3 linked regions of the Cricetulus griseus genome follow. The protein of the gene in region 3 interacts with the protein of the main gene of each other region in a pairwise test. Links are inferred from orthologs where the notes say so. Each region holds a gene or a part of one and is shown on either strand. Other genes may lie near its edges.

Region 1 (1,827 bases), on a different chromosome or scaffold from region 3:
AAAGGCACTGATAACAGGAATATGGAAAGAATCAAAGATAGAATGTTGGCAAATGGATACTCTGTGCAGATTTGGAGATCTTTTGGTGAAATTGTCTCAACTGAAGAGAAGCCCCTGTTGACAATTACTTATGTATTTAATGAAAGCACCCCTTGCAAGTCTTGAAGTCTCTAAACTCAAATGATCTCCCGCAGTATGACCCTCAGTGTCAGTGTTATTTCTCTGGGTGAAATTTAAACAAGCAAGGAAATGTGTTAAGAAAGCATTACTCTAAAAAAATGTTGATGGCTGCAGGCCCACCGAGGAACACTGTATTGGATGAACAGGTCGGCTGCAGAGAAGTTTAAGCTGAAGCAGGCCAGCCCTGAGTGCTGAGCTTCTATGCTCGCACAGCCCTCCACTGTGGCAGGCTTGGCTCCCCCAGCGTTTCTTCATCAGGCTGGGGGAATTGACAGAGGCCCGGGGCGATGCTCCCTTGGTCACGCCTTCCTCCTCCTGGGCCACGTCCACTCGGTCCGTCAGTCCCACCCTGGCCACACCCCCACGCCACCAGCACTCCCCTCCGCCACGCCTTTCTCACCGCAGTGCGCTGGCGCATTGGCTGCCAGAGTGACCTTGTGGGTGGAGCTTCCGCCACCAGCTAGACCCCCTCTGCGCAGTGCCCAGGGTCAGCACTCCTCTGAGGACACGCACTTCCTCTACGGCCTCCTTGAGCAGCTCCGCGGAGCCGATCCGAGCCCGAGAGCCCGAGACCTGCCAAGCGAGTCACCATGGTGGACGAGCTGGTGTTGCTTCTGCACGCGCTGCTGGTGCGACACCGCGACCTGTGCATCGAGAACAACCGGCTCATGAAACAGCTGCGGCTGCTGGTGTGTGAGCGGGCCATTCTGCTGCGCCAGGTACGTCCGCCCAGCTGTCCGGTGCCCTTCCCCTCACCGTTTAATGGCGAGAACGCCCGGCTCCCCGAGTTTATTGTGCAGACGATGTCCTACATGCTTGTGAATGAGGACCGCTTCTGCAACGACGCCATGAAAGTGGCATTCCTGATCAGCCTCCTCTCCGGGAAAGCCGAGGATTGGGTGGTGCCGTACATCCAGACAGATAGCGCCATTCTCTGTGATTATCGCGCGTTTGTTGAAGAGATGAAGCAGTGTTTTGGCTGGTATGACGACGAAGATGATGATGATGATGATGACGACGACTGTGAAGCGGTTGATTGCTAGGCCCCGAGCCCCCTTAGGCCTACATGAGGAGGACCCTGCACGCTGCGTCCTCCCTACCCCCACCGCTACTCCTGCTGCCTCCGTGCCCCCCTTTGCATTGCCATTCTCTTCCCTGCCAATCACTTCGCTCCTTCATCCCTTTTAGTGCTTGTCTTTGTGCCAATTACCTGCTACGAGTGCTTGAGTTGGGCCTGGGCCTGGCTCTGAGGTTCACAGTGTTCAATTTTAACCAATCCGGGCACCTTTCTAATCTGAACTGTGTTTTGAGCTCCAGCCATTGTCCAGGCCTGTGTTAGAACTCGTCAGACCACCTGCATTCCTGCCGCTGGCTTCTGATGGATCGCCATCTACATCTGCCAGAAGTGGATGCCTGTCACCTCACCCCCCCCCACCACCACCCCCCACTGCATCTCATCTGCAGCCATCCACTTTTCAAGATATGGACCAGGAAGAAGATGATGGAGTTGGCTACATCTATTCAGACTCTCATTTGGACAGTTCACCAACCCTCCTAGAAGGGGCCATTCTTACAGCCTGGTTAGTTCTGTACCTACTTCCAGGTTCCTCCTCTGCCGGACCAGATTGCTGCAGGAGCCTGATGTGC
Region 2 (3,757 bases), on a different chromosome or scaffold from region 3:
CCACTTATTTTGGTGAAGTTGGTATTAGTATTTCCATTTTACAGATGAGGAAACTAAGCTGTAATTAAGTGAAAATGCTTATCAAAGATCTCAGAATTAGGAAGTGACAGTTTCCGGTGCTTGGTGGCACATGTCCTTTAATCCTAGCACTCAGGAGGTAGAGGCTGTATCGGGTGTGTGTGTGTGTAATTTGTGTGTGTGTTGGGGGGGGGCAAATCTACGTGACTTCCGGGACAGCCTGATCTACATAAGATAGTTAAGAACCACACCACGCCGGGCGGTGGTGGCACACGCCTTTAATCCCAGCACTCGGGAGGCAGAGGCAGGCGGATCTCTGTGAGTTCGAGACCAGTCTGGTCTACAAGAGCTAGTTCCAGAACAGCCTCCAAAGCCACAGAGAAACCCTGTCTTGAAAAAAAAAAAAAAGAAAGAAAAGAAAGAAAACCACACCACATAGTGATCCTGTCTCAAGAAAAGTGTCAGCTGTGGATTTGAGATCAGGGTCTGATGAATTCTAGCTATTTATACTTCACTATTCCAAAACCATTAAAAAATGGTAATCAAAAATGTCACATATGAGCCTCAGAAAAACTGGAAGACATGAGGTCTGACGCTAGTACAAAGGCATAAATAAACCCAGATCTACATATGTCCAGAGATGTCCCAGTGTCCACCTGGAAACCCCTCAAAATGATGCCCTGATCCAAGATGGCTTCCCAAATTGCCCTTGTTAAAGATGGCCCCTACTTCCTTTTAGCGGAACTAAAAAGGCTCCGCCTAGCACCAAGATGGAAGTAAAATTTAGTCGTTTGTTTGTTGTCGTTGTTGTTGTTTCTGGTTCTTGCTGCAAACAGCTAGAACTCCAGCGACGTCCGCGAGGACAGCGCTTCTCTTGGGGGCCTCTAAAAACTCACAAACCCACGTCGGCTTTAGCGCGCATCCCAGTCTGGAGCGAACGGAAATGGGGCGGTTCCGGGGCGGTCGGTAGGCAGGGCGGGTCGAGGAGACACTTCCGCCCCTCACCAACATGGCCGCAGGCCGCGATTGCGCATGAGCAGCTGTCTATGGAGAGACCTAGATCCAAAGAGGGAGAACGCTGCCGGGGGAAATCGGCGACTGGAGCGGCCCGGGTCGGTGAGTGCGTCGGAGCCAGACGGAGCCTGGGGACGAGGTGGAGCGGCGAGGCGGGGCAGCTTGGCCTTGCTTCATTTCCCCCGGGCAGGCAGCGCCGGGGCTCGAAGCCTTTGTTTTGGGGGAGGGGGCCGTGCCTGGCTCTTTATCTCCTGCCCTGCTTTGTGGGCCGAGCTCGCTCCCCGGCCGGGAGTGCACACGTCCCGCCCTCCCGTGGTGTCCCGCCGCGGGCCGCAGCTGCCAGCCGCAGGCCTGGGGGGGGACCCCGGCGTCCTTCCCTGTCTCCTTTGCGGAGCAGCTGGGGCGCGGGGCGAGCCGGGCGAGCCGGGCGAGCGGGGCGAGCGGGGCTGGGCCGACGGGGTCACCGCGTGGGCTTCGGGGCTCGCGCCTGACGGGTGGTGCTCAGCTCCCCGAGCGCCTCCCGCTAGTTGGTGGGCCTGCAGGGAGACGCCTCGTTCTCAGGCAAGGTCCTGGCGCCTGGATTCTTTCAGAACTTGATCTTTTTATTTTTTTTGCTTTTGCTTTTGCGTCTGTGCTTGACGAGGGCGTTTGCTTGGCCCTCCTTTTGAGCGTGCAAACCACAACATCCTATGCTGATTTCCGTGTCACATATTCTTAAATGCTCAGGAAACGCTTCCGGATGTATAACCAAGATTTGAGTAAGTAGCCTACCGCCGTTGCTGGGTGGCCTGCGAAGTTGCTCTGACAGCTGTGGGCTATACAGTTGCTTCCTGTGCGTTGCCTTCTCTTCATTGCCTGCTTCTGCAGGCCATGCAACAAGCTTCGGAGGGGCTCTTCCTCCTGGCCTTTGAGGATAGAGACCTAGGTGGTCCCTAGACACTGGTGCTTGCCTCCCTTTGCAACGTTACTTTGGACGGTCAGTTTCACTTTCAGTTCCTTTTTGTTGTTATTTTTGTTACCATTTTCTTTGCTCTCGGGCTTTCCAAGGCTTATTATCCGCTAAACTAAGATTTTCTTTGGATTAGAAAGGTTTGGAGGATTTTATGGGTGGAAAACTTACAAAAATCTTGTCCTTTCTTGTTGAGAATATTTTATTGCTTTGTACTGTGCAGCTGTTTCTTTCTGGAGGCATCTGTCTGCTCAGTTCTTTGTTTTTCTGTTCTCTGGCGGGGTGTCAAGAGTCCTAAGGCAGAAACATTGTAGATGGATTCCTCCCCCATTGTCTTTTCTCCTTCAGAACCCCGAGCCTGGATTTTTTCCCCCTTCCTCCTGAGGCTTAGTTGATTTGGAGTTGTCATGGCAACATTTTAGCAACTGTGTTTCTCTACAGGAAGCCTTGATGAATAAAATAGAGGAGCCTTGAATATGATGCACTTGGGCTTTAGAGTTTGTAACAGATGCTGTAAATCTGAACTCCCCCAAAACAAGATCCCTGACAGTAGAATCATACCCAAGAGCCAAATCTAGGTTTTGTGGTTAGTGATGGTTTTCCAGTGGCAAAAAGAGGGTTCCAGTTTTTCCCTTTTGAGATTGAGGACTGGAATTTCTTTTTTGTTGTTATTGTTTTGTTTTATTTTGAGACAGGATCTCTCTGTATATACCCCTGGCTGTCTTAGAACTCAGTATATAGACCAGGCTGGCCTGGAATTCAGAGATCCACCTGTCTCTGCCTTCCGAGTGCTGGGACTAAAGGACCAAAATGCCTGGTGAGGACTAAAATTTCTTTCTTTGGTTTTTCAAGACAAGGTTTCTCTGTGTAGTCCTGGCTGTCCTGGAACTCACTCTGTAGACCAGGCTGGCCTTTAACTCAGAGATCTGCCTGCCTCTTGCCCCTGTCTCTGCCACCACCGCCCTGCTTAGAATTTCTTATTGTACAGTTTGTGTCTAAGAAGGGCACCATGGTGGGTGTTATTTGGTAGTGGTGGCCTAAACATGACCCTAACTATTCCTATGAAACTATAGTAGCTTTAGTAATACTCTATAATTGCTTCAATAATGCACCTTGAAACATACTATTTCTCGGCCTTCTAGTATAATTATCTCCTACCCCTCGGAGGTGGAATGAATATGGAGGAGCCGCCAGGCGGTGGCAGTGCTAGCCTTTAATCCCAACACTCAGGGAGGCAGAGGCAGGCAGGATCTCTGTTGGAGGCCAGCCTGGTCTACAAGTGAGTTCCAGGACATCCAGAGCTACACAGAGACACCCAGTTGAAACTAAAACCAACCAACCAACCAATAGATAAATAAATAAGGAGTAAAGAACATTATTTAAAAAGTTGCTTTTTAAAAATGTTATAGCCGGGTGTTGGTGGCTCACTCCTTTAATCGCAGCACTCAGGGAGGCAGAGGCAGGTGAATCTCTATGAGTTTGAGACCAGCCTGGTCTACAGGGCGAGTCAGAAATTTAACATTAGTTATGACAATTCGGCCTTATCTTATGCTTGTTTTTATTTTCTTTTTATTTATCCTATGTATCTTTTTACATCAAGTATTTTGATCCCATTCATTTCCCTGCCCCCTTCAAATCCATTTTGCACCCCTCCCCAAATAATATAAAATTTCAGAGAAAAAAGGGGGGAGGAATAATTTAAAATCTCATCAAGGAAGCTGAGGTGTGACATAGTGAGTCACACAGCATACCCCCTTTTTTTGTCCATATCTCTTT
Region 3 (3,291 bases):
GGAGGGACTGCAGAACTAAGGGCTGACTCCTCATTACCTGGAGTTTTGGGTGGGATTTAAGACAGTGGTAGAGCACTTACTCCCCCAATGGGCGCCAAGACAGGCCGAAATCCGGCCCCTGAAGTGGCTCTAGCTCCCTTCCAGGCTCCTTCCTGTCCGAAACAATGGGGCAGGAAGCAGGTGTTGGGGGCCTCAAGCCCACTGGCTGCCTGTTCGGAAGGTGGAAGGGTATGACACGGTCCTTCCCTGCCCCCAGTCCTTAAGATAGGAGCAGTGTGATTCCCCATGGGGAAAAACTGATCATCTTGTTTGCTTGCACTCCAGAGCATTCTCAGTCTCTCGAAGTACAGGAGATGAGGCAGAGCAGAGGTAGCCCCATTCTTCAGATGAGAATGTCAAAAGTCCAAAAATATATGATAGTTTCTTCAAGGTCACAGCTGAGACTGGAACCTAGAGCTCCTGTTCGAAACAGTCTCCTTTAGCTTCTGGATCCAACATGACAACTCAGACTAGAGCTTCAAGCCTTTATTCCATTTTGGAAGGTTTGTATAAAAATAGTCTCTTTAGGAAAATAAATAGCAGCTGCCCTTGATGTGGAGGCTTGGATACCCTGGAAGTAGAGGCTTCTCAAAGCTTGGGAGTGCAGCTCAGCTCATCACAGAAGCCACCAGTGCCTCCTGAGTTGTGCCATTCAGGAGGAGCCTGCAGGATGCCCTGTCGCTGCTGGCAGTGGAGCTGTGTGAGTTAGTGTTCTAGTAAAAGGACACCTGTCTGGGTGTAGGGCTGGCTGGATCGTATGAAGAAAGTGACATAGCATGAGAGTGGTCTGCAAGGAAGGGAAAGGGCTCCAAAGGACCACTGGGGATCTACAAAGACTGGGCTGCCAGGATTTCTCTGGCCTAAAGGGGACATATTTTGTCTCTAATTTTGTGCAAATTATGATAGGCCAGCTCTAGAGAAACAATGAGCAGCTTTGGGGACCCCCCCCCAAGCTGGCTCTACATCAAAGCATAATATGTTTGTTCTAATCTGAGAGATAAAGGACCTGCTGGTTTGGAGCATGGTTATGGTCCAGGCCTGCTGGATCAGTGGGGAAAAGGAGGCTGGGGTAGCACCAGCAAGGGGTGTGGTTGGGTGTCTCACAAAGCCAGGAGTGTGGGAGAACCCAGGGGGTCGGAGGAGGGGTCGCCACTGCTGCTGCTACTCTTTCGATGTGCTGAGGAACAAGGTTCTGGTGTGCTAGGGTAGGTGAAAACCAGACTGGGAGTAAAGGGAGTCAGAGACGGTGTGGTCATGAGCGTGGGGGTGTGCAGGGCTTCAGGTTCAAGTACAGGCCCTGGAGAAAGGGAGATACAAGGTACCGGGCGGCAGGGGGCTGGTGGGCTGCCGCCGCCACGGGCGCCAGAGCCGCTGGTGCTGCTGGTACCACCTGTGTCCTTATCTCCTTCTGGGATTTTGCAGATGGGGCGATGGGCTTCCAACACCAGCTCAAGGCGCTCCTTCTGTTTCTGCAGCTCTTCAATCTCTCGCTGCAGGCTCGATTTCTCGTCCTCCAATTTGTCGGTCTCCTTTAGGAGAAATTTAAGAGGGCTAAAGATCTCTAAGCCTCAGGCTGGAGTATGGGGGATGTGCCCTCAAGTCCCCTGCAAGTCCCATGAGACTCTTGGAGAAAATGGGCATGACTCCCATCAGGCCCAGGACTTGCCTACCAACATCTCTGCTTCAAGGCCCAAGACAAATAATTTTTTGTTTTGATTTTTGGGACAGGGTTTCTCTGTGTAACTGCCCACGCTATCCAGGAACTTGCTCTGTAGACCAGGCTGGCCTCGGACACACAGATATCAGCCTGCCTCTGCCTCCCCAGTGCTGGGATCAAAGGCGTGCGCCACCATTGCCCCTGTGGCAAATAATTTTTAACCCAACTGTTCTTATACTTTTCCCAGGACTTCCCCTCAGGCAGGGAGGAAGGTGGAATGTGGAGGAGTAATTTATTGGGTTTCTTGTGCTCCTAGGAACCAAGGTCACTCTTGGGCTTGGTGGGCCCAGGGCCTGGGAACTGTCTGTACCAGCTGATGCTCACCGCCTGCAGGAAGTCTGTCAGTTCCTTTCTTCGGTTTCTGCACTTAGCTGCTGCTAACTTGTTCCTTTCACGCCTCACTCTGCGGCGCTCTTCCTCCTCTGGGCTGATCTAGGTTGAAAGAGAAGAAGCACTGAACTTGCCATCCATCTTGGGGCCTTTCCTTCAGCCTGTCATTTAGGTGCCACCGTTACACAACTGCTGCTCTGTACCAGGCGCTCGTACCTAGCTCCAAGCTAGCTTTACTGCTTGCTGGTTTCTTTCCAGTAATGCTTTCCCACTCCATAAACTTTGACCTTCCTTCCTCTCATCCTTCCTCAGCTTAGGACTAAACTAAGATGTTGAAAGCCTTATTTCCCAGGCATAAGTAGCCTTCCCTCCTGAGTCTACGAGACACGATTATCTTTTTATAGGACCCTCAGCCTTCTCATCTGTGGAAGATGGAATTTCTTCCTTCCCTGAGGAGCTATGAATCATAGGAGGTGCTCATAAGTGTCAAAAGCTATTGGAAATCTACTGTGCCAGCAAAGTACTTCAGAGGATTTTTCTTTTGTTCAGTGCTAGGGATCAAACCCAATGCCCGGTACATCCTAGCTAGGCAAATGCTCTACCACTGAGTTATGCCCCTAGCCCTTAAATAGATTCTTTTTGCTTTTTATAGTTTTTGTATTTTAGATCAGATCTCACTGTGTAGCCCTGGCTTGTCCAGGACCTGCTATGTAGACCAGGCTGGCCTGGAACTCACAAAGATTCACCTGCTTCTGCCTCCCAGGTGTTCGGAGTACAGATATGTGACACCACACCAGGCTTGTTTTGTTTTGTTTTTTTAAAGAGACGAGGTCTCGTGTATCCCAGGCTGGCCTTAAATTCAACATATAGCCCACCTGCAAAATACTAGGATTATAGACTTTTCTCATCACTTCCAGCTTCCCTACACAGATTCTTTTTTGTTGTTTTCTTTTGTTTTTTGAGACAGGGTTTCTCTGCATAGCCATGGCTGTTCTGGAACTCACTCCATAGACCAGACTGTCCTGTAACTCAGAGATCCGCCTGCCTCTGCCTCATAATTCTTTGTGTATATTTTTGTGTGTGCTGGCTGGAAGTTGATATTGGGTATCTTCCTCAATTCTCTATTTATTTATTTATTTATTTATTTATTTATTTTGAGGCAGTGTCTCTCACTGAACCTGGAGCCTAGCCATTGGCTAGACTTG

The links. The genes of interacting proteins can lie anywhere in the genome.
Region 1: the proteins of Fosl1 (region 3) and protein LDOC1-like interact in binary tests that used the Homo sapiens proteins (3 or more experiments, as listed by UniProt). The two-hybrid records come from large-scale screens. The link is inferred for Cricetulus griseus from reciprocal best matches to the Homo sapiens genes FOSL1 and LDOC1.
Region 2: the proteins of Fosl1 (region 3) and Usf1 interact in binary tests that used the Homo sapiens proteins (3 or more experiments, as listed by UniProt). The link is inferred for Cricetulus griseus from reciprocal best matches to the Homo sapiens genes FOSL1 and USF1.

What each region holds. Positions count from the first base shown.
Region 1 is NC_048604.1:11,336,477-11,338,303, reverse strand, and holds protein LDOC1-like, read left to right. Parts: upstream 1-770; coding exon 771-1,223; downstream 1,224-1,827. UniProt on the Homo sapiens protein: May have an important role in the development and/or progression of some cancers.
Region 2 is NC_048598.1:21,483,027-21,486,783, reverse strand, and holds the start of Usf1 (upstream stimulatory factor 1), read left to right. Parts: upstream 1-979; 5' UTR 980-1,134; intron 1,135-1,758; exon of another isoform or gene 1,759-1,790; intron 1,791-1,830; exon of another isoform or gene 1,831-2,008; intron 2,009-3,757.
Region 3 is NC_048596.1:53,884,984-53,888,274, forward strand, and holds the end of Fosl1 (fos-related antigen 1), read right to left. Parts: intron 2,189-3,291; coding exon 2,081-2,188; intron 1,569-2,080; coding exon 1,140-1,568; 3' UTR 511-1,139; downstream 1-510.